4 linked regions of the Diceros bicornis minor genome follow. The protein of the gene in region 2 interacts with the protein of the main gene of each other region in a pairwise test. Links are inferred from orthologs where the notes say so. Each region holds a gene or a part of one and is shown on either strand. Other genes may lie near its edges. The genes, in order: SPP1, BAG6, ATXN2 and KLHL12.

Region 1 (7,840 bases), on a different chromosome or scaffold from region 2:
TCCTCAGATGCACTAGCTACATTTTGAGTGTTCAATAGCCACATATGGCTAGTGGCTATCTGAGTGGACAGTGCAGAAATAAAATATTAACATCATCCCACAAAAGTTCTATTTCTCTGAGCTGTCCAAGACATGAATGGAATGGTTTTTCCTTTAGCCAAGTCATTTATCTGGAAAGTGATTATAACATGCTAGTGCAGAGGAGTGGAAATTGCCCTCAATGTGTGTCATCTGATGGGCTGTGTCATCCAGGGCCCATCGCTTCATGTCCCCGTCCTTGGGAACAAGAGTCCGGGGGGCTCCCCAGAGTTGCTTCCACAGCCAGCCCCATGGGGGGGCTTCTCTGAAAGTTTTTTCTGAAAGAAGAGGTTCCTTGCCCAAAAAAGGTACAAAAACTACTGGTCCAGATGAGTTCAAAGTTTCTTTCTCTAAAATAAATATTTATATAAATATTATATATAAATATTACAATTTATATATATTTAATAAATATAGATATATATATTTCCTGATGATACACGTAATCTAGGCTCAGGGAGAATGTATTTACGACTTTCCCATAGTTCCTACTAGCTCTAAATTTCCAGGATTCTAGAAGGTTGAGCTCTTCACTTCTCTCCTAAATATCATTTGATAACTTATATTGCCATGGCTTCATGTGCCGTATTTTATTCTATGAAAAAGGCACTAACCCTTGCCTCAAAGAGTGTGACCTCTATCTTATCTGGAAATGCTAATTTTTCTGGCTTATTACTGTGATCCGATATTTGTGTTCTTAAATCGATTGGAAAACAGACACATCTAAACACACCAACTTGCACACCCAAACACACACAGCAACACCTCTCCGAACGTCTTCATTAAGTGCTCCGACTGCAGTGAGCTCGGGCAGCTCTCTGTTGGCTTTTGTTCTGTTCATTTGAAATTGAACTCTGTGTGCCTTTTTGTCCAAGCTCCTTGGGACAATGCCCGTTTGTTGTTTGGCTGGCACTATTTCACCTATTGTGGAGGGGCAGGTACATCTATGGTTCTGGTCAAATAATTATAATGAAGAATTTGATTTGGTCTTATGTTCGGTTAGAAAAATGTGATCTAAAGTCAGCTGACAAGCACAATAGATACAAACAGCATAAATAGACTTTCATTTTATAGTGGGCTTTTTAGCAAATATCTTAGGAGATATTGTGAATATGACAGTCGTACAAACTGTCCAATATGTGAGGTGAATCTTAAACTTAGCCTTCTGCTAAGGAAAACAAAAGATGGAATTTTCTGCTTCTAGAACAGCATATTGACTCATGGAAAGAAAAAGCCACACAACTTCACAGAACTCATTTTACATAAGTGATAATGGCCTGGAGCATTATTTTATTATATAAAAAAATCTAGCTCAGTCTTAAGAGTATATACTTATTAAACACTTTATTGTGCTCGGCACTGGCCTAGATTGAAAGCAGGCAGTCAATAAATACCTTTATAAATTAACAGCCTTGACCATGAAAATAAGTAAAATTGCAACAAATGTGTTTGCAGTGCTTCTTGCGGCAGATGTATAAATAACTTAACTAGATGATGAACCTAAAAGACGCTTACCAGCTTCTCCTCAGAGCTGCCAGAATTAGCCTGTTGAACCTTTGAAACAGAAACAATGAAAAGAGATTACAATGTGAATGCATTCCTAGCACATGGCAGCATACAACTCATTTATTTTGAGAATTTTTTAAAAAGATTCAGCTGTACTCACTGGAAGGGCATAGGCGATGCCTAAGAGGCATAAGCAAATCACAGCAATTCTCATGGTAGCAATTTTCCTGCAAAATATTTTGTAAAGAATATTCGATCTCGTCATAGGTTACAACAGTGATAACCTTTTAACGATACCATATTACAAAATAATCACAAATAAAATATATTTTCTGTAGAATATTTTCTCTTTTTTAGAGAAATCTTTCCTTTTTAATATTATGATCTTTTGAGTTAATATTTGCAATGCCACCTTTATTCTCCATCTCTCATTATTAGGCAAGGATGGGAGGAAATTTACAAGATTATATTTATTCAACTTTAAAATTTAGAGTTCCAGAGATTAACCCATTACTATCTGATATCTCTAGCTTTCTAAACCTAAAAATAGATCAACAGCAATTTAATTAAAATAATAAGCTAGTGTGGAAATATTTAGTTTTCAGAGAAGAAAAACACAGAGAGAGAGAAAATAAAGCTATGAAAGAAATTTGCTGTCTCCATTTTTCCAGCATGCATTTCAAATGTGATTTTTAACTTCAATTATTAAAAAGGTGCTAATTAAGTGAAATAAAGCTGTCTCTAAAGTTGGTGATTTAAGTAAGGTATTCTAGATATTTGAAATGAAAAAGAAAACATTGAAAACAGTCAACCGCTTTTCTGTTTGTGATAAGTCTACTGAGTGTCATACAGGTATTTTCGTGAAAATTTTAACAGGTAAATACAGATGTAAAATATTCAGAAAGGGTTTTTTTTCCTCCCTGAAAATAGGATACATCAAATCATTAAAAAATAGCATTATCATTGGCTTATATTAGCACTAAAGATCTTTGTCCTTTTAAGTACCTCCACAATCATCTATCCATTTAAAATGATATAGATATAATTATTCCAAAGAGACACCGAATTTAATTTTTTTCTGACTGGAAGAGGTACTTTCAGTTCTTTTGAGGACTCAGTGCAAATATTTTTAGGTTTTATGTTCAACGGGCTTTTAAAATAGCTGGTCACCTTTCCTCCAGGAGATCTGCAATGTATCTTGGCATGTTTATTCAAAAGACTAGAACAATTGTAGTCTGCTTAACAGCCTTCCAGTTAAACTCTTTTCCTTACAACTTGACCTTCCCCCTGATATGAAACTGAATGCTTAAGACAGCAACAAAGTAGCAGACTGCAGGCTTACCTTGGTCTGTGGCTGGCTGAGAAGAGCCAGTCCGAGATGATGCTGCACTGCTGGCCTCCTCTCCTCGCTGCTCACAGCCAGGCCCTCCCAGAATTTAAATGCTGCTCCAGACGGTCTCCACCAACACAGGGAGGAGGAGAGATGTGTCATGAGGTTTTTTGCCACTGCCCAGCCCACTTGCTCCCACACTTCCCCCTCTGGTTTTGTGGTTAAACAAACAAGCAAACACACACACAGACTACTCTACAGTTAAAATGTTACTTAGGTACAATATCATTAAACTAGCTTTTTCATTTATGAGATTGATCTTCAGCATCCTGGAAGGGCACCTAGGGGTCCCCAAAAAAAGGGAGGAAATTGACTAGTTCTTACAAAGACTTTATAATTTCTGAATTAGAAGAAAAAGCATTAATGTGTCAGTCCCAAATAAAATTAAATATAACGGATTTTTGTTTCTTTTGGTTTAAATAACAGATTAGGGTAATATATGCAACCAAATTTGCCTCATAGTTATACTTATTTAAGAGCTACACGGCTATCATTCAGGCGTACAAAGAGTTCAGAGACTGTCCCTCCGTCCTTTGCTATTCAAGCTGGGTTTCTGTGACGTCAAGCGTGCAGCGGCTTGTCATTTAGACCAACGGCATTAGTAACATTAAAATCCACGTTCATGCCCATTAAGTTGGATTTATAAGGGCCTTTCAAGGACGTAGATTTTTGTCGCATTGTTTGAGTTGTTTGCAGATGATGAATCTGATAACGTGCTATATAAAACAGAAGAATTGTGATTGACTGTAAAGGCTGCGGAAGTAAAGCAGTTTCTGAGAGCAGGGCTACTGCTTGAGAGTGCTGTGTGTGCTGGAGTGTGGCTTGGGATCCCACTTTGCCACTAACTAGCGGTGTGACCTTGGGCAAATCACTGAGCCCACCTGTACTTGTGTCTTCACCTGTCGCACGCACACACCATTACCTAGCTCCTGGTGTTTCTGAGAGGTTTAAATGAATTAGCATGGGTAAAACTAGCAATGAGTGGCACATATTATATGCATATTTTAAGCACTGTGTGTGTTAACTATTACTAAAATTTTTAGGAGGAGCAGGTAGTCCTGATTTGTAAAGTCTTTAAATGGAATAGTTTATTAGGATGAGACTAGACGTAAGATCTTTAAACTGTGTACATCAATAGTGTAATTTACACACTTCTAGAGGAATGGATTAGATTCTTTCTGAATCATCTTTTTCTAGTTTTTCTTCCAGGATATATAAAGTTGGTTACTTAGGAAGAAAATTTAAAAAAATTCTATATTTAAAAAACTTTACTGGATATTTAAAAGCTGTTTGAATGAAAGAAAGTTACAGATGAATTTGAATATTGGAACAGAAACTAGAGGTAGCATAGTTCTGACTCCATCCTAAATATTTAATATCGTCTTGAGATTACCTGACCTCTTCATCTACCTTTCTTAGTTGTGAAATGGAGATTGCACTACTCAATTACCTCAGAGCGCCGTTGTAAGAATCACGTGTGGAGTGAGATTAAAGGTAAATGGCCCCATTTATTATTAGTTCTATCGAAGGTGTCAGTTCCTATTGACCAAATACTGCTTTTAATATAAATATGGATTAAATAATTTCTTGCAGTGTTAGTAGTATAACCAATCCATAGGTTTTATGGACATTCGGTGGGGGAAAAATATGTCTCTTTTAAATTGGATGCATTCCAAATGAATTGATACAATTCATTTGCGGGTTCTAAGCACACATTTTAATAGTTCAGATGGCAGCTATCTGTAAAATATAAAGCACTCAGGTTATAAAGTTGCAAAACAGACTTATTTGCTTTTAAAAGCTGTGTTTTTTCGTCTTTAAACACATTACTCACTCACAGAAGTTTGTCATGTTGTCAGTTCAGTGGAGGGAAGTGCACAAATTCTAAAAACAACAAGATTTCCACAAGATTCACTATGGTTTACTCTGTGCCCACGGGAATGATTTAATATGAACTTAGAGAGTTATAGGAATAGATTTCGCTGGAGCCCAGCCATCTCGAGATGAACCAAATGACCCAGCCCAGGACTCTTCCGGTCATAGCTCCAAAGGGCCACACGATGGCAGTGTTTCTGAAAGGGATTTCAGACCACAATCTGGTTCTGTCAGTTTTCTTATTCTGGAAGGATAGAGCATTCACGTATTTAATGACAGAACTATAAAACAGCCATGGGGCCCTCCATTTCTTGGAATGCCAGGTGAGGAAATATTTCCCAACAATGACCTGCTGCACAATAACGGGGAACAGAGAGGCCAAGAGAACCAAAGCATTCTTGTTCTGCTCTGTCCTGGCCTTCAGCAATGCCAGGTGGATGCTATTGTCTCCATCCCCACTTCCCACACTCGCTCAAAAGGTTACTGATCCCGAGGTCTCACTCAGAGTGAAGACTTATGAATTCATGGTTAAAGAATGTGTCTGGGATGCTTCAGAGATGAGAAGATCAAGTGATTTGTAACGGAGGCAGTGCTGTAAAGTATAAAATGGATAGTGTGTCACTCTGAGTTTTGAAGAGGCTCATGCTTCTTGCTTTTTGTAATCAAACATGCTGCTGACATCATTTTCTGAGAAGGATTTTCCAACGGTCAGAATTAACATGTTAAATGATTAAATCAGAAGAGCTTGATCTGTAGCATTTCCACACTAGTTTCATTCTTGATTAGGCTAATGCTTGGTTGTTAGAATCAAAAGGTCGAAATGATCAAATTCCTTGTAATCTTGTATATCGAAAGGAAAAAGCTTAGTTATTAAACTAGAATGAAGAGTGGTTTGTGGTCATAAAATATAGACACTGTAGGGGGCCGGCCCGGTGGCGCAAGCGGTTAAGTGCACGCGCTCTGCTGCGGCGGCCCGGGGTTCGCTGGTTCAGATCCTGGGCACGCACCAACGCACTGCTTGGCAAGCCATGCTGTGGCGGCGTCCCATATAAAGTGGAGGAAGATGGGCACGGATGTTAGCCCAGGGCCGTCTTCCTTGGCAAAAAAAAGAGGAGGATTGGCGGATGTTAGCACAGGGCTGATCCCCTCACAAAAGAAAAAAAAAAATATATATATATAGACGCCGTAGGAGGACATATGGAAATATATAAAGAACATTTTATTTTTTTCTTGAATTACATGAAAATTCTCATATAATGGGAAAATTTACGTGTCCAGATGTCACTGTTTGGTGGACTTTATTATACTGACTTCTAGTTTATTTGGATATTTCTATTTATATTCTACTGAGTAAAGTATAATCAAATTTTTCAACCCTTTTAGCTCTGTCAATAATTATTTTTTCCCCTGAATTAAGGTTCAGATAAAAATCTGATGTCTTGACACCATCAGCAATCTGTCATAGAGAAGTTGGGAATTATAGCCAATCAGAAGCCCACTACAGTATTCATCATTTGAAGTCTAGGGCAGAAGGCATTATTTCTTAGAGGGAGGGAAACGAGGGTGGAAGATAACAGGGTGCTGTTTTTAAGTTCAGACATGAAATGAGAGCATTTCAGAAATACAAAGGAGAAACACTATCAAACTTTTTATCCCATTGCTCAATAACTTAGTCAACAAAATTCAGCTCCTGAAAAAGTGGTCTCGCTATTGGTAAACATTAGTTTCATTTAAAACAACAGAAAAAAGCTTCTTTTTTAGACCCATAGAATTGTTATAGAGTAAGTAAGTACTCGATAAATTGTTAATGATTAACCACTCAACTCTCCATCCATAACAACTAATTCTGAGCATATAGGTCTTGATTATCAATACAATGTGTGGGCACTATGCTTGAATCTGTATATCATATATTGATAGCTAATATTTACCAGGACTCAAGAATCTAGCAGTATTTCTTTTTCTTTTTTTTTGGGTTTTTGTGAGGAGGATCAGCCCTGAGCTAACATCCATGCCAATCCTCCTCTTTTTTGCTGAGGAAGACAGGCCCTGAGCTAACATCTATTGCCAATCCTCCTCTTTTTTTTTTTTCCCTTTTTCTCCCCAAAGCCCCAGTAGATAGCTGTATGTCATAGTTGCACATCCTTCTAGTTGCTGTATGTGGGATGCTGCCTCAGCATGGCCGGACAAGTGGTGCGTTGGTGCGCGCCCGGGATCTGAACCCGGGCCGCCAGTATCGGATGGAGCACGTGCACTTAACTGCTAAGCCCATCTAGCAGTATTTCTTTATCAAAGTATTATCACTAACTCTAAGAGCATTCTAACACTCTTTAAATGATAGATTCTTTAAAGTTGACTTAAATTATTACTTTTTTTTTCTTAAAATGGCACCATTCTTACCCTCATGGAGCCCATGGATTCATGAAAATCAACTAAGAAATTTGTAACTTGAGTAGCCCATGAGGTTAAGAGGGTGTGATTAAACAGTAAACTCATTGGGCTGCGGACAGAGAAGGCACAGGGTGGAGACCCTGTGTCTACACTGAAGTTGAGGGGATGGGTATTTTGGGATAGGCTCAAACAGGAATTGTCTCTGCCCATCCAACATCAATCCAGCAGCATAGAGCTCTATATCTGCAGCAACAAGGGTGACAGTACAGGAGCCTGTAATCAGAGAGGACCCGAAGAGGGGGAGGTAGAAGCAGCAGGGACGGACAAGGAGAAATTCTAGCAGCCACAGGCCCTTGTTAGTGCAGAAAAGACGTTTTGCCACACTAAGCAACCAGCGACAGGCATTTTGCGGAATGTATTTGAGGGGAGAAAAGCCTTCTCTGAAATCAGCTTATGAGAACTCTCATTTCAAATCTGATGTTTGAGTAATTTCAGTAGAGAATCCATTGTAAGGTTGATATGAAAAAGTCACCATTTCAGTGAAGAACAGAAGAAAATCAAAAGAAAGAGGACAAAAAACGGACAGCCAAAGAAGCAACT
Region 2 (7,807 bases):
ATCAGCAGCCGTACTCGGGGCTCACTCTACAACAAGAGAGGGAAGATTAGGGCAGGTTTGAGATGAAGCCATGAGCTCCACCATCTACCAAACCAGGTCCCAGCTATCTGCTCAGCCAGGTCCACCCCCACCTCACAGCCTCCTTCTCCCAGATCCCCTTCCCTGGCCCTCCCAGGCCCCGTGATACCTGAATCGGGGCCTGTTCCATGTTGATGTGAACATCCACAGCAGAGCCGTCACTCTGGGGAAAGGGTAAGGGAAGTTGCTCTGGGAGAAGCCAAATACTAAGGCCCCCACACTTCCAACTCGTTCTCTGGAGCCCCAACCCTCTTCTCCTCAGAGACTGAGGCCGTTATCAGACCACAGGGGCCTACAAACCCAATCTAAAGACTGGGACACCTGTCTTATGAGCTCTTTGCTACCACAACCAAAACTACCCTTCCCCACAAAAACTCTTCCACATGGAACACAAGCTTACAGGAAGATTGAAGGTTCCAACCATGACATAGCTGTTGGCATTCCGGTCATGAACAGAGGCCCCAGGCCCCCGAGTACCAGGGGAAGGTCCCCCACCATGGGTGGCTGAGGCAGACCCTGTCCCAGAAGATGCCCCAGAAGGGAGCTGAGTCTGAGGAGGAGCCCGTTCCACAAGGTGGATAACCTTTCCCCCAACATCTGCAGAAAAAAAAGATACACACCAAAACATTATGTGAGCAGGTAAACCCACAGCCTCAGCTCATCCCTCTGGACAGCTGCCTCAACCTCTGAACTGCCTTCCCCACCCGCTTACTGTATTCTTGGAGCTTCTTATCATCCTGCAGAACTCGGCCCTGGTAGATGAGCCGTTGTTTCTCAGAAGGGATGCTGACAGAGGCGGCAATGTGTTCCTTAAACTCCTTTACATTCATCTGTAACAAAGAAAAGACACGAATAGGTATCAAGGGATGGAAGAAAGAAGAAGGACAGAAGGACAATTGACTTGTGGGGATAAGGGGTAAAAACCATCCCATCATAAAATCACTACCCATTTGACTTGTGAAGTAATTATTGGGCAAAGCCCCAAACTAAGACAACAGCGGTCAAAATACAGACAATAAACTTAGCAAAGTTCAAGTTATACACCTAGCAGAAAATTACATAGCTAAGAAACAGAAAAGCCAAGAGACATTCTCTTTTCTCTTTCTCTACCTGGCTCCCAGGGGAATGTGTGTCTAAAGACACCGGTGACCCCTCCCCAAACACAAAACGATACAATTCTGTAATCTCAAAGATAAAAGCAATGACAAGGAAAATGGGGTGGAGAATCAGGGCAAGGAAGGAAGACTCAACCAAGAAGAGAGAGAGAAGGGAGCAAAAAACAAAAAAAGTTTTACTAACTAGACAACTGATTCTTGGGAAGTATCAGGCTATTTACATACATCTACTTGAAAAAGTTTATACGGTTTTCTTAAATACATGTAATACCATGCTCTAAAAATCATGGACCAACTCCTCACAATTTTGTCTCCAAGTATTACAGGAGTAATGGCATGTCCCCATGGTGTTAAACTCAAAAGATAGGAATTATGCCAGAAATCTTAGTAATTCCACTCAACAGTCTATTAGGGCTCTACCTGCATTAGGGGCTCCGATTTCTAGCCTTTAAAAACACAGGATAGACCCGACCAATTTTTGTTTTTAAGACACACTTGCGTTTGGGTCTGTGTGTCCTGTTTCCCTTCCCAAAGGCAGAAGCCATGTCTGGCCCCTTGGTCTGGGGTTCACTTATGGTGATAGCATACAGATTCCTTCTTCCTCCATATTTCCCTCTGCATTGAGTTCTATCGAGGTGGAGGAAGACAGAACAAAATCTGCCTCATTCAACAGAAACCATACCTTCTCACTCAACAAGAAACATCAGTAAATGTTCTGCCTAGAATATGAACAAAGAAATTAATGCAAGAAATTTTGAGGACCAGAAAATCAGGCTCTTCTCTTAGGCTAAGGGGCCTACAAGAGAAAGAGTTAATAGGTGTCTTAACAGAAGTACTGGGGTCTCACCTGGGCCCCCACAATAAACGTCCGAGTCTGAGAGTCCAGGGTCTTCACCAGCACCTCCAGGGTGTCAGGCTCTTCCATAGTGAGACTGGTACTATCACTGGGCTCCATGGCCGACAGCTCTCTAAGGAAGAATGGAAGGAGGGAGGCCCGCTGTCGCCCAGAACAGATTTTATATATCCGGAAGCCTCCCGGCCTGAGTCTCCGCCCCAATACCTAAAGGGTTTCTCTCACACAAGCACACACACTCACACCCGCCCCCATCCCCCTTCTGATTCCGGGGCACAGGGAGAGAAACACAAAGGGCAGGAGATCGACGGCACAAGGAGCTGGAGGAACGGGACGTGGGAGGGGCTCCACGATGCCAATCACAATAAGGGAGGGCCAATCGGGATAGGAAGCAGGGAAGAAAGCAAGAGACCAGTGTCATCACCGGTCGCGATAAGACAAGGGCCCCAAAGGTCGGCAAATCCTGTAACAACGCGAGTGAGAGGGTCGCGCCAGACTGCGGAGAAAGTGGTTTCGCGCAGGCGCGCTACGCCACGACCATCGAACGCGCCTAAGTCACCACAGACCGGAGATGACCGACACTCACGGGGGGCCAGACCGGCTAGCTGACTGCCCCCCTCTTCCGCTTTCCCTCGGTGCTCCAGCAGAGCGGCGCAACCAACACACACACACACCCACCCACCCACCCACCACTCCGCGGCTCCGCCCCCGACTTCCCCACGGTACCGTCACTTCCGGTCTCCCCTAACCTGCCACCGACGGCCACTTCCGTTTCCCCGATAGTATTTGGGGATCGCGAGGCGGTACTTCCGGCTCCTCCTAGGTCCCCAAGCTTTACTTTTGTGGGGCACGACCAGGAAGTCCGCGGCCCCAAACAGTGAGTTCCTGGGGGCAAGACGGACCGGGCCCGGCCTAGATGGGAAGGAGCCGAGCCCTCGAGGAGCCGCCGCCGCCGTCGCCTGGGGGACCGTACTGCGCCTGCGTGCGTGGCACTGCGCCTGCGTACACACTTAGGCACCGCCCCACCCCCGCTGGAGCTGTGCATTTCTCCTGCGCGCGCGCTCGAGCAATAGGACGTTAAGGTGGGCACTGTAAATGCCTGAAAAAAAAAATTACCAGATGGGACTGTACGACTGCCTCGCGAGGCTTCCGACGGTTCTGTGGATGTTGGAGTTTGGATACTGGGGATTGTGCCTCGTTAATCTATATTAAAGTCTTGGCCGGCAGAGAATTTGATACGGCACTGTCCTGGCCACCTAAGAGTCTGTCTTCCTGTCACTGTCGCCCTCGCTGCGCCAATCTTCGGCGCCTGCGGAAGTCACCCTTTCCGTAGGCGGTTGGAGGTGGTTCGCGAGCTGTCCTGCGTGCGATCAAGTCGTTGGGCCTGACTTCGGTCCTGCCGGTGGGCGTTTTGCGGAGTGTGGGCGCCATGTTCCTCGCCGGCGGTGCACGGCTGAGGCGACACGCCATGTTTTGGAGAAGCTAAGGATTTGCCACCTTTCAGGACTTTTGTCAAAAAAAAGGGCGCTTCTGAGTTTGGAAATCGGGAGCAAATGAGTCAGACTGGACTGAAACACAAGACTGACTCCGGGGAATTGAAGGGGCTGCTAAGGGGCTTCCGCAGGCGGGGGTTGCGGGGGCGAGGTAGTTACCGCCTCTCTCCCCTCTTCTCCTCCCACCCCCGCTCTCGGGCAAGGGCATCGACCCCGAGGCGCTGCGACTCTTCCAGTCAGACTCGTCGCTGCCGGGGTGCCTGACTCCCTTGCCCTGCCTTTTTATAGTTTATACCCAGGTCCCAGTACTGCTTCAGTTAAGAGTTCTGATAAGCACCTGTTTAGTGAGCACTTAGTTTGCGCCCGCCGATTTGCTAAGAGATTTACGTAGTCATATTTAAAAGCCTTTCAACATCTGAGATAGTTACTACATCCGTTGTATAGGTGAGTGCACCTAGGCGAACGTAAGTGGCAGAACCGACAGATCCAGGCCCAGCACGCTCTGGGTCAAGCACTTCTACTTTACTGTCCCAATAAATCGTTGTATTTTAGTTTTTAATTATCAAAAAATGTCAAACATTACCCCAAAATAGAATAGTATAATGAATCCTGATATACCCATCTCCCAAATTTTGTTCAATCACAAGCCCATAGCAAGCCTCACCTCTCAGGACAAATCTCTTTTTGGCAGTCTGTGGGTTATAAACAATCTATTAAGGAAGCCCCACCTTTTATTGCATTAACTGCTCCACCCACTTGGCACTATCCAATGACTGCCTCTTGACAATTCTTTCCTTATCTCCTATTTGAAAACTTATTAGCCACCAGAAACTGTAATAAGTGCTTTACAAACGTTACTATTAATTATAGAGAGTATTTACTTTGGACTTACCGTGTGCAGGCCTTTGCTAAGGGCTTTATGTGCATTATCTTTTTTAATCCCATGAGACTGATGAGTTGCTCATTTCACAGATGAAAAAACAGGCATAAGGATTAATAAAATTGTCCAAAATCTAATGAATAGTAGAGTTAGGGTTTGGACCCACTATGCCTGACACCAATGTCTGTCCTCTTCAACCACTAGATTATATAGCCTCTTGTAGTAATAAACGTTGAGTGAATGAATTCACTTATGTGTCAGGAAACTTTTCTGGAGAGCGTACATATTGTTTCCTCAATTATAAACTTCAGAGAGGAAGCCTCCTATCCACCATGCCCCAGCACGTGGTTTGTACCTGTTCTAAAGCACTTCCCAGGTTGTACAGCAGTGATTTGTTTACACAGCTAGTTTTCCTTAGACTGACTGCTTCAAGGCCAGGGACTGTGTCTTATTCATTTTTATGTCCCCAGGGCTTAGCCAGTTCCTGGCAAACAGCTGGGACTCAACACAGTTTGCTAAGTGAATGAATGAATCAATCCACCACTCTTGGATGCTGCACAACACAGCAGATACCCAGCTCAGATATGGGTTGAAAGACCACAGGCTTCTGCCTGGAGGGCTCAGCTCTCCTTATAATTCCTGAGAGACCCTGGACATGCCAGGGTGTATTGTGGAGTGGTTGCATCTAGAGGAGGGGGAGGAAGGCCCAAACACTAATCCAGGCTTGGGTTGGAAAACAAGGTTGAAGTTACTCATTAGCAGGTGAAAGGGTCAAGGGTCGAGGCAAGGGGGCTGGAAGCAGAGTGGACTGAGCAGCCAGCGGGGGAAGAGAGCAGTTAAGGCACCACTCTATGCAGAGCACCAGCTGCCTCCTGCCTGAAGATGTTCCACCAAATTTGGGCAGCTCTCCTCTACCTCTATGGCATTCTCCTTAACTCCATCTACCAGTGTCCTGAGTACAGTCAACTGACAACTCAGGGAGTGGATGGGAAAGAGGTATGGACTGAGAATGGGAGAAACTTATGGTAGGGGCTCTGAGGGACTTGAGTGGTGGCCTAGGATGACCAGAAGCCACGTTGGGAAAAGGAGGGAGGAAGAGGGTGTGAGTGTTGTGATGATGAAAGCAAGAACAAGTAAAAAAAATATTAACACTGTGGCCATCAATGTGGAGACATGGTAGAACTGGGGGGTGGGGTGGTTACTCAGGTTGATTGAGGAGGGGCAAAGAGGAAAAGTCATTTAGTGACTCCCTGTCATGGATCCAACCCCCAACTGGAAAAAGGCAGCCAACATCTCCACCTCTACGTCTTGCCATCCTGACTGATGAAGACATGGGATGGATCCTGTAGTGGGACCCACCCTCTTCTGTTCCCCTTATTGTCTCTCCAGTTCCCAGAGCCCCACCTGGGCCGGTGGTACTTTATCGCAGGAGCAGCTCCCACCAAGGAGGAGTTGGTGACTTTTGACCCTGTGGACAACATTGTCTTCAACATGGCTGCAGACTCTGCCCCCAAGCAGCTCCAGCTTCGTGCTACCATCCGCACGTGAGTGGTGAGGAGGCAGAGGCACCAGTAGGTGCGGTCTCTGCCTGAAGTGTGAGCACCTACCCACAAAGAGCTGAGTGCTTTGGCATATCCACAATTCTTGGCCCTCTGAGTTTAACAGCTCTATTAGTTTCAGTCTGGAGAGAAATGGGCCTAACCATCCCTTGGTAGCTTGAAACCCAAGGGGACCCGGGCTTCAAGAAGGAATAAGATGGAATAAATAGAGGCTGGTACTGTGTGGTTGGGGTGTCACTCAGTCTTGCCTCCTTGCCACCACCACCTCTGCAGGAAAAATGGGCTCTGTGTGCCCCGGAGATGGATTTACCACCTGACTGAGGGGAGCACAGATCTCAGAACCGAAGGTTGGTTCTCTCCAGTCCTCACTCTCCCCAAGTCCTCTGGGCTTGCTTGGTTTTGCATCTCGGTCCTCACACTTCTCCTCACCCACCCTGACAGGCCGCCCCGACATGAAGACCAAGCTCTTCTCTAGCTCATGCCCAGGTGGAATCATGCTGAAAGAGACGGGCCAGGGTTACCAGCGCTTCCTCCTCTACAGTGAGTGGGGATGCCAGGCAGGAAGGATTGGAGGGAAACACGGGAGGACAGGAGAGCTCCTCACTCTGGGCCCTGTCGCATCATCCCAGGAAGGGCTGGGTGCTTCCATGAGGTCCTCACCAGGGGCAGTGCTAAGAAGCAGGGGCTTTGATGGGCCTGGCCCTGCCTTGCCCTTCCAGATCGCTTGCCACACCCTCCTGAGAACTGTGTGGAGGAATTCCGGTCCCTGACCTCCTGCCTGGACTCCAAGGCCTTCTTACTGACTCCCAGGAATCAAGGTGAGGGGTAAAGTCGCACAGTAGAGGACTAGGACTCACCAAGTCTTCTGCAGGTGCTGGATGAAAGGGACTCAAGTGATGTCACCAGAGGGCATGGCCAAAGGCTGATATCATCAGAGTGGCTGTGTTGACCCTCCATTTGTGTCACAGGCTGTGATGGCACCAGAGGGATGTGGCCAAGAGCTGTGATGTCACCTGAGGGAGCCAGGATGGGCTCTGGGCTACTCAAAAGAGAGGTTTCTGAGTTTGCGTGGATAAAGGGGGCAGAGGGTCAGACATGGAGGGAAAAAGTCCTCAGAGATCCCTTCTCAACACAGGGGAATGAGGGAATGAGGGAATCTCCCTGGATTTCCTTCCTTTCCATCCTCTTTTTCTCTCCCTCCTCCCACCAGAGGCCTGCGAGCTCTCCAGTAACTGACCTGTGGCTTCATCTGATGGATATGATGGGAGTTGAGATTGTGGTGAGAAGGAGAAGCTGGAGACTCCCAGCTCCCTTTGAAGAATAATAAAAATGATTTTTCAATAAGGATTTCAATAAAGATTTTCAATCAGGGTCTCATTGGGATTTGTCTCCAGACATCAATCCCACTACTCCCATTTCAATAGTCCCCCTGGACCTTCTGCCATCTAAACCTCCAGCTGGACGGCGTCAGGAAGGACACTGAGTGGCGGTAACTCTCACTTTGTAGTGGTATATTTAGGATTTGGTGTGACACAGTTATTTATTGCTAAGTGAGCAAACCCCCAACCCCCGAGTGGGAACTGCAAGCTCCAGTGCTTCCCCACACTGTTCTCTAGGCTGCCAGCCCTTCTGAGCTGGCCTTCGTGCCACACTGCCTGCACCATCCCCACTTCCTTTGGCTCCCCAGGAACACCACAGATCCTCCCTGCGGACTCCCTGTCACCTGTGGGCTCCCATCCAGACCCCCTACTCCACCCCACTAACAGCCCCACTCTTCTCTGGATGGCTCAGATCCCAGGATCCAAGGGATCCTTTGGGTCTGTCAGCCA
Region 3 (7,812 bases), on a different chromosome or scaffold from region 2:
AAAGACAGAATAAATTTTTGAAAGCCAAGAAAATGCACTATTCACCAAAAAGAATCAAATATGATGAGACGTTATATTATTTAAAGCAGACGTGTATTTCTAGACTTTCAAGAATATTTTGCCATCTCTAACCATGTCAAACCCAACGCTGCACTTCCTTTCTTCACCCTTGGTCCCAGAAACTTATTTTAACTGTTAATACAAACATAAGTGAGACTCTAGAAACTGTAATGGCTTACAAAGAACCCAGTAACAGTGATCAAAATTGAAAGGAATTCTACAAGTATATTAACTGAAGATCTGTACAAGAACAAAATTTCACATTATATGAATCCAATACATTAAAAAAAAAACCCCACATATTTACCAAAAAGAATAAGGGCCACAATTTATGCCTCAAGTAAAAGAACTTAAAGGGAGGAGGAATCTAAATTAACCCTAAATGTTTGCGATGCCTCAACGAACAGAAAAAGATCTGTGGTGCTACAACACTCCAAATATTTTTGATCACTCCAGCCGTTCTGGAACAGATTCTTGACAATTTTTAAGCCTAACCAGAGTGGATGCAACGTAAAAGCTTTAGTTCTAATTTTTAATTATTTGAACAAGTTGAATATATCTGCCAGATTTCTGATACCTAAGAAGGAAAAAATGGTGCATCCTTTTCTATAAAAATTACATATAAAATTTTTCCATTTTTCACTATGGAGTTGCAGAATCCTAAATGGAAAGAGCTGGGAAAATAAGCACTTCATTTGAAGTAGTTTGACTAGGTAGTAGTCTGTGGGTGCTTCAGAGAAGGGGGAGTCTGGGAGTGGGGGGGAGAGCACAAGTCAAAAAACCCATGTTCCCCCTCCTCCCATCGAAGGCAGCAGAATTCCTTAAAAATCAGCTCTGATTCATCCTGATGGGTAACTTCTCCTGCCATAAATGAAAATTCTTTGGAAATGGATTGCTGAAAATCGGTTTTCAAAAACAAAACTTACTGCATGAAAAAATCCCCTTACCCCACCTTCTAAAGCCCAGAATGTCTATTTAAGAAGGATCCTCTTTACTGACCCTGCCAACCCCGCCTAGACCTAAGGGAGGCATGGCAGTCCATGCAACACGGATGGGCCCCGGGGCACCGGGGAAATGGACTCGCGTGCCCTTGGAGAGCTCTGGCGGCACTCCCCAAGTTAAGGACACTGGCCACAATGGAATGGAGTCCATTGACATTTGTTGCCCCGTTTGAACACTAAGCATTTTCCTAGTTCGTGAAATACGAACTGACAACCACCCCCACACACACACCCCCAACAGGCCTTCCCGCACAAACACACCCGCCAGAGTCAGACCCGGTTAGCTGAGAAGACACTGAGCCCCCAGTGGTCTCTACCACAAACCTGGGTTATGGGGGCAGGAGGGGGAGACGACGCAAGTAAACATCCGCATTTCTGCCTCCAGGAACCCCACGATGCCCCCTGCTGCAATCCCTCTCCCCTTGAAATTTCAAAAATTGGGGCGGGGGCTAGGGAAAAATGCGCAACATGCCAGCTCCCTGCCCCCGCCCCCCACAATGTCCCCAGTCCGGCTGGGCTTCTGCAGCACGCCGGGGTCCGACCCTCGCCCACCGCTATTCCAAGGCGACTTCTCCTCCGCGGCCTCGGAGCAGCAATGCGGCTCGGCCGCCACCCGCGCCGGGGAGGCCTCGCGGGGGAAGGAGGGAGGCCGGGCGGGGGCCGGGCCTCCCCACCCCGTCCTCAGGTGGGGAGGGCGGGACGCTGCGGGAGACAGCACAGAGCCCCACGATTCCCGAGGAGTTCTGGAGCCTCGCCGACGCCGCGACTTAAATGGGGAGGGGTGCGGGGGGCCGCTGCCCACCCCCTCAACCTGGCCCTTCCATCTTCCCGGGGCGGGGAGGCGGGTGGGTAAGGACACTGCACAGACCCTCAAGACTCCAGAGGAGCCCTGCGGCTGCCCCTTTAACAGGCAGGGGGGACGCTGCCCTAACTCTCCCCCCTCCCTCGTTATTCCCCAATGGGGGAGTTGGCAAGTTTCGGGAAACGGAACCAAAACCTCAAGACCCTTCCACGTTAACATCCCAACTGGGGGTGGGGGCGCTGCCCAAGCATCCCCCCCCGGGGGCGGAGGAGGCTTGAGAAAGGTATAACAGAGCTGACACTCGCCGAGACCTGTGACCCCCTCCCCAGCACTTAAACGAGAGGGGGAGGCGGCCCAGGCCTTCCATCTTGACCGTTCGGCGGAGGGGGTGGGGATGTTGCAGGACGCCGGACACCGCCTGACATTCTCACAGGGAGCCGGCGGCACCCCCACCCCCCGCCCCCCCGGCTCTGGACGGCAGGGGAGCCCCACCCCCACTGCGGGCCCCCAGCCCACCCCCCCGGGCCGGCCGGTCACGGGGCGGGGACGGCGGTGCGGGCCGCGGGGGAGGGGACGCGAAGCCAGGCCGGCTCGGAACGGAGGGGGCTGGGGCGCGACACCCACCTGCCCAGGCCGGGCCGGCCGCCGCCTGCGCTCGCCGCCGCCGCCGCCGCCGCCGCCGCCGCGGAGGAGGAGGAGGAGGAGGAGGAGGAGGAAGCCACGGCCGAGGACGACGAGACTGAGGACGAGGACGGCGGCGGCGCGGCGGCGGGCGACGTGAGAAGGCCGCCGCTGGGCTTGCGGGCATTGGCGGCCGCAGGCTGCTGCTGCTGCTGCTGCTGGGGCTTCAGCGACATGGTGAGGGGCCCATACACCGGCCCGCACGCCGGGCGGGGACAGCCGGGAGCCGGGCGCGCCGAGGAGACGCCGGAGCGCGGCGGGGACGCGCGGGCGCCGAGCGGGGAGGCGCGAGCTGGCGCGGCCGGGGGGGCGACCGGGCCGGCGAAGGGGAGAAGGACGACGACGAAGGGGCGGGGAGGCCCGCCGAAACCGAGGAGCCGCCGGGAGCCGGGCCGGGCCGCGCCGCCGCCGTTGCCGTTGCTACCAAAACAGTCTGAGGCGGAGGGAGGCGAGCGCTGCCCGGAGGGAGGGGGGCCGGGGCCGGGCGGGGGAGGGGCGGCGGAGGGATACGGGCCCGGAGCCGCGCCGCCGCCGCCCCGCCCGCTCCGCCGCGCCGGCGGCGGGAGCGAGCGCCGCCCGGGCCACCTGGCCGCGGCCAGGCGGCGAGGCTCGAGGGCCGCCGTGGGGCTCCGAGGAGCTGCGGCCGCCGAGCGCATCGGGCGCCGGGCCCACAGAGGCGCCGCGTGGCGATGCCGGGTGGGCGCGGACGTGCGGGACGGGGATTCTTTACCGGAAGTCGGAAGGGTCGGGCGGAAGCAGAACGTGAGGCGGCCCGGGGCCGGGAGGGACACGTGAGGATCGGGCGCTGCGCTGGGCCGCGTTCGCGGGGGTCGGGTGAGGGCCCGGCGGCCGGCCCTGGCCGGATCCGCCCTCCTCGAGGCGGGTCTGCCTTTCAGAGAGGGCGTGTCTGTCTTCGCCTGCAGGGCCGGCCTAGCGTAGAGGACCGGAGGGAAGCGTTTCTTCCCCGCCTCCCGCCCCCCAATAGTCCATCAACGTCCTCGCACGGCTAGGAGAATCCGAGTCCGCCCTCTCGTATTTGAGAGAGCGAGACGGAGACTCAGATATTATCCGTGTGCAACAGGAGGTGTCGGCCACTGCACAGACACCTTGCTCAGCCCCCACCTGATGCAACCTAGAGGATGGACTGGAGTGCTTTCTGGGCGCAGACTGCCTTGCTCCGTATAAAGCACCTAGAACACAAGCATCCCACAGTTTTCTTTGTATTCCCAGCAGCTGGCACACAGTAGGCTCTCACGTGTCACTGGGTGTCTCAAAGGCAGGCTGTCCTCTCTTTCTGTACCAAGAATGGCAGTGTTGGAATCGAGCCACTTCCTGGGGCCACCCAGATCTGGTTACCTTTTGCCCACTTTTTTCACCCCAGTAACACAGTAACTGGAAAACTTTTGGGTATCTGACCTTCATTTGAACCCATTTCCCCTCACTTGGACTTCTTTTTCCTCATTCTTGAGACTCAAAAGGAAATGTACATGATTGGTAGAGTTATGGATAATAGCGGCTCCTTCGGTGGAGACAGCACAGACCTCACAAGAAGGTGCGCGCTTTAGACCTTGGCCCCTTTAGTTTTACTTTAACTTAGGTTGGTAGCCAGCACAGTAGTCCATTTTTTGACTGTGTTGCAATTAAACTGGAAGCAAGTAGATAACTTTTTGATTGTTTTGAGTAAGGAATCTAGTTTTTTAAAAAAGTGTAACGACTTCAGGAAATAGGAGGAAAATACCAAAATTCCCCTCAATCTCCCAGAATTGTCAGATAAAGGTAAAAACAGAAAAATTTGGAGAATGCTTAAGCCACGAGTCTCCAGTAGCCAAATTGAAATTAATCTCCAAGATAGTTCAGGCAAAAATGATCATTATATTCTGCAAACACTTGAAAAGTAGGAAATCAGCTTTTCTCCCAGATGAGGTAAAAGGAGGTTGAAGGAAAAAAAAAAAAAATAGTATTCTTTTAAACCAACGTTTGCAAAATCCTTTAAAAATTAACCCAAAGGAAATTGAGACTAAAAAAACGGATGAGGAAAAAAAAAATAGAAGGGCCATAATAGAAGTACAATCAACTTTCTCTGGTTTAATTATTTGACAGCTATATCTGGGACCAAGGTCCCAGAGTTCAATCTCAGGACCAAATTCCAGACAAATGGGAGGAAAAACAAGTGGAATAAGAAGGCCTGAGGCTGACGTAGCTGAACTTGATTTCATTTACGCTGAGAAAGCTCAAAGTTTCATCTACTATCACTGAAAATATATTGTTAACAGTTTTATTGAGGCATAATTTACATATTATGAAATTCACCCATTTTGTATACAATTCAATGATTCTCAGAAAATTTAGAGGGTTGTGAAACCATCATCACTAATTTCAGAATATTTCCATCACCCCAAAAGGATCCTTCATACCCATTTGCAGTGACTCCTCGTTCCCATCCTCAGCCCCAGCAACCCCTAATCTACTTCCTGTCTCAATGGATTTATCTGTTCTGGACATTCCGTATAATTGGAGTCTTACAATAGGTGGTCTTTGTCTGCTTTCTTTCACATGTTTTTGAGGTTTATCCACATCGTAGCACGTATCAGTGTTTCATTATTTTTTATCACCATGTAATATGCCATTGTATGAATATATCACTTTTTGTATATCTATTCACCAGTTGGTGGACATTTAGGTTGTTTCAAGTTTGGGGCTATTCTGAGTAATGCTGCTATGAACATTTGTAAACATATGTCTTCACGTGGACATATGTTTTCATTTCTCTTGAGTAGATGCCTAGAAATGGAATGTTAGATAGTATGGTAAATTTATATTTAACTTTTTTAAGATACCATCAAACTCTTTTCCAAAGTGACTATACCATTTTACATCCACGCCTGAAATATTGAGGGTTTATCATTAAAATTTGATTTCTGCTTTTATATTAAAACGGAAACCAAGAGAACCTCTACTATCTATTCTATTTTATACACTTCCCCATTTTTCTTTATGGAAGGAGGATCACCACCCAGAACCAAAAAATATCTCTTACTGCAAACCCCTCACCTGAATTCTAGACCTCTGAAGATGTGGTTATTTAACAGCAACTGTGATGTCAGAGGGCTTTAGTTTTATATGAAAAGAAGACTGGCTTTTGTTTTGGACTGCCCTCTCTCACTCACTTGCTTTGAAGAAAGGTGGCTGCCATGTTGTGAGCTGCCCTGTGGAGAGGCCCACATGGTAAGGAACTGTCGTCTCCAGCCACAGCAGCAAGGACCTGATGGTGGCCAGCAGCCAGGTGAGTGAGCTTGGAAGCAGATCACCCCCCCCCCCGCCCCCCCCCTCCCCCGTCAAGCCTTGTTGTGACTGCAACCCTGATCGAAGCACCTTAGTAGGCCTTTCCAGAGACCCTGAACTAGAGATGCTCAGCTAAGCCACGCCAGATTCCTAACCCTTTTGTTGTTTCAGTCAATAAGTTTTAGGAGAATTTGTTACACAGCAATAGATAACTGATACAGATGACCCCAAAAAAAAGTGCATTTCTGGTGATTTCCATGTGCATTCAGAATTCTTTAAAGACAAATGAAGTCAGGAACTAATAGTATATCCAGTATAAGTTACATTTTTGAGTGCTTCCCCCGGCCCCAATTTTCAGGCAGCCATTGTTGGTTTTGTTTAAAACCAACAAGTGTTGGGCCGGCCCCGTGGCTTATCGGTTAAGTGATCGCGCTCCGATGCTGGCGGCCCGGGGTTTGGATCCCGGGCTCGCACCGACGCACCGCATGTCCGGCCATGCTGAGGCCACGTCCCACATACAGCAACTAGAAGGATGTGCAACTATGACATACAACTATCTACTGGGGCCTTGGGGGAAAAATAAATAAATAAATAAAATTATTAAAAATAAATAAATAAAACCAACAAGTGTTGCTGAAGAGTTGTCATCAAAGGCCATGAAAAACACTGTCCTGAAAGAGTTCTGATATTGAGAAGTATTTCTAAAATATAAACTTCAAAAATAGCTGTGGCCGTTTCAACCACTATTTCAGAAATGAAAGTATCAAGTGAGAAACATATAGAGAAAGACTTTCAAACTTGGGAATCTAGTCTTATGGATTCTCTACTTGCTTTCTGATTTTCAATGACCCTTCAGCAAGGCACATGGCCCTTTAATTTTCATCACTTCAATGATTAATCAAGTCTGAGGATGTGGAGATGAAAAACTGATGTAGCCATGCAAAGCAGAAATGCGAAGAGTCATTTGCTATCACACGATACAGCAGCACACATCAGATGATCCAGTATTTCCAGCAATTCATTTTTCTGCAATCATTTCTTTTCAGCTCTCTTCATTCGATCATGTTTAATGTATGATGATACATTATTCACTCAATACTCTTGATTTTGCTTTCAAAAGCATGAAAATTAATTCAAATCAGAACTAACATGCACCCCCCCCAAAATCCATCCTCTTCAAGTTTTTGCATAGACCAATCCTCACTTAAAAAAAAAAAAAAAAAAAGAGCAGATGTAATTTCAAAAATAGGACCATGGCTAATTAAACCAGTGTTTTTTTCTAACCATGGTTACTCAGAATTCTTAGAGGCTAATCTATTTGTAGACACTCCAGGAATCCCAAAAGGCTAAAAGCAATAAAAAAAAAAAAAGAGAAAGTGTAAAGTGTGGGGTGCTTCCAGGAGGGCATTATGTACACACCTTGTGTGCAAAGTAACAACTTTCCCATAGGTTTGAAAAAACTGAGGGGGGGGTGGCAAAATAGTAGGGAACACAGCAACATTATTTGAAAAGCTTTTAAATGAGCCGTTTCCTCCACACGAGCACACTTCTGGTTGTTAAGTTGCTTAGTGTTTTTTACCTTGTGGGACAGAATAATGATGCAGTGACATTATTCACAAGGCAAAAGCTGGATGCCAGCTGAAATCGACACAGAAGAAAGAATTCTTTATTTTTCATTGGAAATGCTTGTGCTGTGCAGAGCTAGAAATTTAAAGAAACTCAGCCTTTTGTTCTTCCTGGTTCTCCCTTTTTGTTTTCATTCACCCCCTTTTTGGGGTAAATTTTGTGGGCAGGCTGTTATTTCAGGGCCCACAGATTTACGGAAAGCCAGAGATTTGAAGTATGCGCCATTTGGAGAATGCAGGAGGGGATTTAAAATGGATGTGCGCGGTACCAGTGACAGCTGAACTGGGCATTAGCATGGGATCTTATTAAGTTTGCTACAGGAGACCCCGCAAGGGAACCCCGGAGAGATCAGACTTAGAA
Region 4 (7,623 bases), on a different chromosome or scaffold from region 2:
TCATTATTACGACACTAGCTCTTCTATTCAAATCCAGCAGCAACATCTTCACTGAGGTGTTGGGACCAACTGAAGACCATATTGGTGGTTAAAAAGAAAAAAAGTGTTACCACAATGAAATATTTCAAGCATATGTATAAATGTAGATAAATGATCTAATAAACACTGGTGTACTCACAGCTCAAGCTTAAGAAAAAATCAAGATAATTTATTTAAAATTTAAAAATCAGACTTGAGATCTTGAAAAATAAAAAAGTTGCAGTCTTCTGCTCTGTTCAGCTTTCTAGGAGCAGCTCACAATGTATTCAACAGCTTTACTCTACATTTTAAATGTTCTGCCAATTACTAAGGCAGTCTTTCTTAACGCTTTGTGAGCACTACCTTTTTTCTTGTCAAGCCAGCCTTTTCCTAATTCCTTTTAATTGTATATCCTCCAGAGTCAGCATCTCTTTCCAAGTTATCCTCCATATGCCGACACAGTCATTCATCAAGTCCTCCTCCTCTCATTCGAGATAACTCTAAAACCTACACTAGTAGAGTGAATACCAATTTTCTTCAATATCGTTAGGAGGAGGGGGAAGAGCACTGAATCCCTTCTGTTCCCTTCCCTCCTCTCTATCCCCCTGGTATTCACTTTAAAATATTAAACGTTAGAAGGAGCAAAACAGGAAAACAAAATTAAAAACAGTAACTAAAATCCAATAGCTGACATTTGTGTTTTACCACATTCTAGACACTGTTCTAAGCACTTTATATGTAATGTTCTCAAATAACCGTCACAATAACCACGTTATTGTGCATTCCTACTATCCCACGTAGAGATGAGGAAACTAAGGCATGGCCAAGTGGCAGATCTTATCCAGAGCCTGCCCATTTAACCACCATACTATAGAAATTCACTACTACATCAAACTTCTACCGTTTTATTCAGTAAAATGAGGCAATTACAAGGTTACATGTGTGACTGTCATTTGTGAGGGGATAACTTACCACTTACCTCACTGGTGAACATGGCACAGAAGTAGTCACTACAGGCAGCCAGCACAATCCGATGGGCAGGGAAGTCCTTCTGCTCTACTCTCAATGTCACATCACAGAGGGTATTGCTCTTCCTGAGGGAGTTCATTGAATTGAGGATGGATTTAGCATGAGTATTTGTCATTATGTCTTTGGGGGCCATAGTGCCTCCCATCAAGCAATATGGAGAAGGAATGAAAGGTGTCCTTGGATTCTACAAGTACAAAAAAAAAAAAATGAGCATATCTGAAGGACTGGGGAGACTGAATATATTCAATTAGCTTTACAAATTAAGGAGGCTTCCTCAGACCCAAACACCCACCAGTAGAGAACACTGCTATTCCTGGCATTACCGCCACAATATAGCTACTAACTATCCCAAGTAAAAAGGATCTCTTCTTCTTCTGAATTCTGCTATTACTGAGCACACCTACCACTTGACATTTATTATAATCAATACTCAACTGTATTGCAAACAGAAACTTCACATGTCCTGCATCTTTACAAGGCTGTTGTCTCAAATGATAAAATGATGAAAAGATAAAATTTCTTAAAAGTGTGATATCAGTATTATTTAACATCCATCCATAAGATTAAGTACGTACGTACGTAGAGGATGGGGATCCCGTTTTACATATTTTTTCTACGCTAGCAGGTGTACAATGAATGTCTAGTAGTTCAATGCAACAAAAGAAAAATTGTGTATTCAACTACGAGCAATAAAGGGTCACTGAAAATGGACTTTTTTCTAATGAAGTAGGCAAGGAATTATTTAAGATGATTTCCAACTATATCTGGATTTCTTCTTAAAATTACACTTCAAATGAAGACCCGGTACCTACACTGAGTAATGGAAACCATGCAAGCTTATCCACAGACTTTCTCTCACATTATTGAAGCTCTGCTATAGAGGGGGTCTTCCTACTCTATCTTATTAGTAAATGTCCATCAACATTAACAAATCAACAGCTGTAGTAATTCTTCTATACTGAAACAGAGAGCCTCATTAGGATAGAAACCTATCAAAACTCCACCACTGATTTTACTACCATAGCTGGTCACTTGCAAAGTTCACTTGTATGCATCAACTAAATGAACTCAGTAAGAGATCACGTATCAAAAAACCAATTTAAGAAGTATTTTCTTGATTGTTGACAGGCTTTAGACACACTATTTTTTTCTTTTTTTGCGTCAAACACAATTTCTGGGGAGTAAAATACCGTGGTTACTAAGAGTCTATCTTATCTGGAATCCAAACTTTCTTCAATGATCTAAGGGAAAAAAAAAATCAAACGACGTTCTTCAAGAGTCCACAACCCACAACGGTAATTTTTGAATAGTAAAAACGAGACCCTAAATTCTCATCTACTCCTGTTTACAGTTAGCATATTATCCTACAAGCACTCCAGGTAATCCCTCCAACAACTGTGCAAGATACATTTTACAGAAAAGGATGATTCATCAAAGCAGATGACGTTTTTCAAAAAGATTTTCCTTAAGCCTACTTAGTTTCAACTCTGGTAAGAAGGTCTAAGACACGCACACTGAGGCAGTGTGAGGACTTGCTGCGGATTATGGCAGGGCTCAGCCTATGACCCGCCTTTGCAGCCTCCAGGCTCTCCTCCCCGGGGATTCCTGCCTCGCCTCACCTTCCCGAGGCGATCTATTCTAGAACTTGCGCGAACATCCGAGGGTTCCGCCCTAGGAGACTCGGGGAGGGGAGCGGTGTCGAGCTCAGGGAAGGCTCAACCCCAGGCAGGAGGGAGGGAAAGGCGGTCTCCGCCCCGACACCCAGGCAGAGGCCCGGGGCGCATCTCTCCCGTTCCGACCGAGGGCGGAGCACCCATGCTGGAGTCGAGGGACGGGAGGAGGCGGCGGCCCCGGCTCCGCGCACTCACCTCCGCTCCCGGCCCACCCCGCGCCGGCCGCGCCTCGTCCGTGGGAACAGGCTGGGGGCCAGCAGGGGGCCCAAGTGGAGCCCAAGCGCCGCCGCCGCCGCCGCCGCCGCCGCCGCCACCGCCACCCCGGCCCCAGGCTCCGGAGCCGTCACCAGGTCCCCGCGGCCGCGCAGCTTGATGACGTACGCAGCACGAGGTCCGCCCCTTCCGTTCCCTCTGCGTCACGTGAGGGGGGCGTCGCGGTGCCCGCAGGCCCGGGTTTCCAGCCCGGGACAGGAAGCGAACGGCAGGTGGGCGGAGGGCGGCCCGCCCGCTTGGAGAGCGGCCGAGACTGAGGTACTCTTGGGGTCACGACGCAGGCCGCTTGAGAGGATCCCACAGATTTCTAGGCTGAGGAGTTCACTGCAGGGAGTCTGTGCTACCTGCCAGGTGTTCGGGAACCTTCTCACGTCGAGAAAACCCCCGGGTCTTCAGATTGCTTCAAGTCCGTGTCTGCGTTGCCCCTTTTCAGGCGACCACCGCTGCGGTGAGAATCCTCCGAGCCTTGCGCTCCGCTCACCTCAGCCTTCTCCACATCGCGAGGGGCCGGTCGTCACTCCTGAGGTCATGTCCTCTGCCTCTTGCACTCCCAGACAATTAAGTGGAAGGAACTCGTGGTCACCAGGGGTTAGACGTTGTGAGTCTTCTTAGAAGTCCCAGTAGTCCTCATCTTCCTCTTCTGCTGACTTTTCGCTAGCTCATGGGTGCTGAGCGTTTTTGCTTCTAATCGATTTTGGCGCACTTTTCTTAGAGGCTCGGAAGGGAATGAGGTTCCTTGGTTCAACTGATGTAAACGTACAAACTAATCGTGTTTGATTATACTGTTTTCCTCTGTGACGCCTTTGATTCTTTAGCGATAATAAAACCATAGCCAAGTGGATAGCAATCTAATTTTACCTAGTGTTTCTAAATTTCCTATCATCTGTCTCTGATCTAACATTATCCCTGATTTACACAGGGTGAGTGGGAGTGCAGGATTGGTACAAATTCTATTGGGGGCATTTTGGAAAAGTTCACCAAAATTATGAATGCAGATATCCTTTGAGCGATTTTTATAATTTTATCCTTCGTATATACTCGTGCATTCATAAAATAATGTGTGTGCAAGGTCGTTTGTAGATTAGATTAAAAACTACCTTAATGTCTATCAGTAGGGGACTGGATCAATAAAGTATGGTACATCCGTACAATCCGATACCGTGAGGTTGTAAACAGTGTGTATAGTTTGCCATTATTTGTGTAAAATGTTGGCAAAATATAAATATTCGTATTTGCTAGTATATGTATAAAATGCATTTGGAAAGATACAAAATAAAGTGTTAACACTGGTTTCTTCGGAGAGAGGAACTGGTTGGTGGGGAGACAGTGGGAAGGAGATTTTTCCCTCTATATCTTTTTGTGCCTTTTGAAGTTTTCATTATATGAATTAAAAATATGTGCAATTTAAATAGCCCTGGGGCTCTAGTGGTTAAGATTCTGCGCTCTCACCACTGCAGCCCTGTTTGTTTCCTGGTCAGGGAACCACACTACCTGTCTGTCGGTACTTTGGCAGCTAGGTGTTACTGTGATGCTGAAAGCTATGCTGCCCGTATTTCAAATACCAGCAGGGTCACCCATGGTGGACAGGTTTCTGCAGAGCTTCCAACCTAAGACAGACCAGGAAGAAGGACCTGGCCACCCACTCCCCCCAAAATTGGCCATGAAGACCATGAATAGCAGCAGAGCAGTGTCTGATATGGCGCCAGAAGGCGAGAGGATGGCTCAAAAAGTTCGGGCAGGGCTCCACTCTGCTATACAAAAGGTTGCTAGGAGTCGGAATCGACTCGTTGGTACTAACAAGCAATTTAAATAAAAAGTAAAAATAAACCCTTGATTTGTGGATGCAAAATAGCACTTTAATGATATTGCCTAATTCCTGGCTGCTAAATTGGGAATTTTTCCAAATATGAGAGGGCATTTAATAAAAGAGGTTTTGTTTAGATTATGCCCACCTCTTTTCCAGATAATAAAAGATGGAGAAACTATTAGCAAGAAAGCCAAGACGCAGGCTGTTTCGTGGTATAGTCCTGGCATATTTTGGGTCTTTAAGGCACGGACACTATCCTTCCCACACAAGAATATTTTCATTCATTTGACTATCCGACCCAGTACTACAGCCCAAACTTAACTCTGAGTTTCTTAGGTCCATTCTGGAGGGCTGGGTCTGGATAAGGTGAGTTGGTCAGTTTCCATACATAATCCTGCTTTGATGGTTTGGACCTGGCACTCCAAATTCTGGGTGTTTATATCTTGTCAAGGGTTTTGGTAAAGGAAAACAGAACTTGCCCTGGCGCTCTAGATCATGTACATAGAGTATAGGTCGAATCTCTAAACCAGCTGGGCAGAATACGTTGCGTTTTTGCGCCACCAGAGTGTGGCAGACATGACAATACACCTCTTAATTACTGAATGTAATCAAGGCAGGGGCCCAGCTGCTGCTTTGAAAGTCATCACTCAATTTTGCACTCAGGCCCAGATCATGCCTCATATGGGCTGGCTTCTGCCCCCATGGGTCATAGCAGAGATACTAAGGTGGACCTTTTCTGGGTCCTTTTTGGGACTCTTTATAATAAAGGGACTTTAAGAGTCCCTTTATGGGACTCTTTTGTCAGCAGACTTTGGATCAAGGACTTCTCTCAAACAGAGTGCTTTGCTAAAACTTGCGTGGACTGCAAAGCAGTCTAGGACGCTTCTCCCGACCTTCTCTCCTTATTTCCTTCATGGGGGTCAGACTTGCATTGCAGTGTGATGGCTCTCCCAAACTTCTCTGGGTCCCTGCATATTTTCTTTGCATATAAGCATTTCCTCTAATAAAATCCTTGCATATTTAATGTCATCTTGGCGAATGCTTCCCCGAGGACCAGAGTAACAGAGCATTTAAGAATTTCTTTGGGGGCCGGCCCTGTGGCGTAGCAGTTAAGTGCACGCGCTCTGCTACTGGCGGCCCGGGTTCGGATCCCGGGCGCACAGCGATGCACTGCTTCTCCGGCCATACTGAGGCTGCGTCCCACATACAGCAACTAGAAGGATGTGCAGCTATGACATACAACTATCTACTGGGGCTTTGGGGGAAAAAAATAAATTAAAAAAAATAAATTCTTTGGATCTTATCCATTTGTAATAACTTAAGAGTTTACTAAGGTTCCCAAAGTTCTCTTTTTATTTAATTGAAAATGGATGTTCTATAGATAGAGATGTTAGTCTCTCCCCTGATTTTTTATTTATTTATAGGAAGAGGGTAGAGTCAGATCCTTACCTTTTATTCTTGGCCTTTCTTTAATCACAGCCTACCGGTGTTTCTGTCATCATTTACTTGTTCTCCTGTAGTGCCTAGCACACAGCAGATCCTCAAGTATTTAGGAAGTAAGTGAATGAACCATAAGTTTTGATAAATAAATGGCAAGCAATAGGATATATTGGAACATATGAGGAAGCCATTTGGTGTAAAACTGATTCTCGGCCTGACCTTGTTTTTCCAAAAGGGGCCTGTGGCCTCTGAACATTCATTGTATATCTGCTTTAAGCAATTAACATGTCCCAAAGGCAAGAACAAATGTCCTTAAGGTATAGATGCAACTTCCCCCACATCAGCATTTCCTTAAGGATAAGCATTTCTCCCTAGGCTAGGATTTGATTGCTGCTCTTATCCTGTGACCACCCAACTTGAGACAACAGACCTGGTACCTGCCACACCCATTGAGACAGCAGACTTGCTACCCGCTGTGTCCATCAATCTCTATGCTGACAGGGCAATCTGGCAGGGCGATCTTGTGACTATTGTAAAAGGGACATTGCAATCATATGTGATACATGCTCTTTGACAGTATATAACCATTCTGTACACCCCACTTCTTTGGTGCCCTTCCTTCCTTGGGGAAGGAAGGCCCTGGGCTATATGGTCCTCAAATTTGGCTTATAATACCCCAATTTTGATTTATAGACTGATTATGGATTATGTGCATCGACAGTATGCAGTTACAGAAAGAAGGTAATATTTACTTGTTGCTAGTTAGCAGTTCTGATAAAGACAAGGGAAGATACTGAAATCAGGAGCAAAAGGGATTTTTAAATGATCTGAGGCTTTAGAACATGGGGTCTAAATCAGAATGATCTGGATTCAGATACTGGCTCTAATCCTGTCTCGTCTTGGAAAAAAGTCTTAAGTCTGTTGGGACCTTAATTTTTTCATACGTGGAATGGAATAATACTACCTATTTCACAGGATTAAAGATAAAAAGGTATAAAATGACATGTGAAAAGTACAAAGTAGATGCTCAGTAAATGTCCTCTCAGATCCTCTCGCTGGTCCTGTCTACTACTGAAAGATGGGAAAACGTGCACACTAGCCTCACCAATTGCTACAGATCTCCGTATTTCCTCACGTAGAAAATGCATGGAGTTGGATCAGATGTGTCTGTTTCCTTCCAGTTCTATACTAATGGTTGCAAACTCAGATGCCTACAGGGGCCAGGCAGGTGACTCCAATGAGTGAAGCAGACTAGGTAGGGACAATGATGCCCTGGAGAGCACAAGCCCTCTCTAAAGGACAGAGCTGCTGTTGAGCTGCAGTCAATTGTTGCCACCGTGCAGGCCAAACAAAACATTTGTGAACGTTTCTGGCCTGCAGGTC

What was found.
Region 1: the proteins of BAG6 (region 2) and SPP1 interact in binary tests that used the Homo sapiens proteins (3 or more experiments, as listed by UniProt). The link is inferred for Diceros bicornis minor from reciprocal best matches to the Homo sapiens genes BAG6 and SPP1.
Region 3: the proteins of BAG6 (region 2) and ATXN2 interact in binary tests that used the Homo sapiens proteins (3 or more experiments, as listed by UniProt). The link is inferred for Diceros bicornis minor from reciprocal best matches to the Homo sapiens genes BAG6 and ATXN2.
Region 4: the proteins of BAG6 (region 2) and KLHL12 interact in binary tests that used the Homo sapiens proteins (3 or more experiments, as listed by UniProt). The two-hybrid records come from large-scale screens. The link is inferred for Diceros bicornis minor from reciprocal best matches to the Homo sapiens genes BAG6 and KLHL12.

Annotation. Positions count from the first base shown.
Region 1 is NC_080747.1:71,991,766-71,999,605, reverse strand, and holds the start of SPP1 (osteopontin), read right to left. Parts: upstream 3,007-7,840; 5' UTR 2,927-3,006; intron 1,812-2,926; 5' UTR 1,799-1,811; coding exon 1,745-1,798; intron 1,633-1,744; coding exon 1,594-1,632; intron 1-1,593. UniProt on the Homo sapiens protein: Major non-collagenous bone protein that binds tightly to hydroxyapatite. Appears to form an integral part of the mineralized matrix. Probably important to cell-matrix interaction.
Region 2 is NC_080753.1:33,107,181-33,114,987, reverse strand, and holds the start of BAG6 (large proline-rich protein BAG6), read right to left. Parts: upstream 3,008-7,807; 5' UTR 2,796-3,007; exon of another isoform or gene 2,773-2,795; intron 2,747-2,772; exon of another isoform or gene 2,733-2,746; intron 2,700-2,732; exon of another isoform or gene 2,633-2,699; intron 2,162-2,632; 5' UTR 2,149-2,161; coding exon 2,041-2,148; intron 909-2,040; coding exon 791-908; intron 676-790; coding exon 479-675; intron 242-478; coding exon 188-241; intron 27-187; coding exon 1-26. Other genes in the region: APOM (apolipoprotein M), read left to right, coding at 5,302-5,415, 5,809-5,963, 6,252-6,325, 6,420-6,518, 6,698-6,796, 7,189-7,214. UniProt on the Homo sapiens protein: ATP-independent molecular chaperone preventing the aggregation of misfolded and hydrophobic patches-containing proteins.
Region 3 is NC_080774.1:9,832,701-9,840,512, forward strand, and holds the start of ATXN2 (ataxin-2), read right to left. Parts: upstream 3,011-7,812; 5' UTR 2,721-3,010; coding exon 2,488-2,720; intron 1-2,487. UniProt on the Homo sapiens protein: Involved in EGFR trafficking, acting as negative regulator of endocytic EGFR internalization at the plasma membrane.
Region 4 is NC_080777.1:30,938,119-30,945,741, forward strand, and holds the start of KLHL12 (kelch-like protein 12), read right to left. Parts: upstream 3,015-7,623; 5' UTR 2,916-3,014; intron 2,846-2,915; exon of another isoform or gene 2,667-2,845; intron 1,232-2,666; 5' UTR 1,193-1,231; coding exon 998-1,192; intron 1-997. UniProt on the Homo sapiens protein: Substrate-specific adapter of a BCR (BTB-CUL3-RBX1) E3 ubiquitin ligase complex that acts as a negative regulator of Wnt signaling pathway and ER-Golgi transport.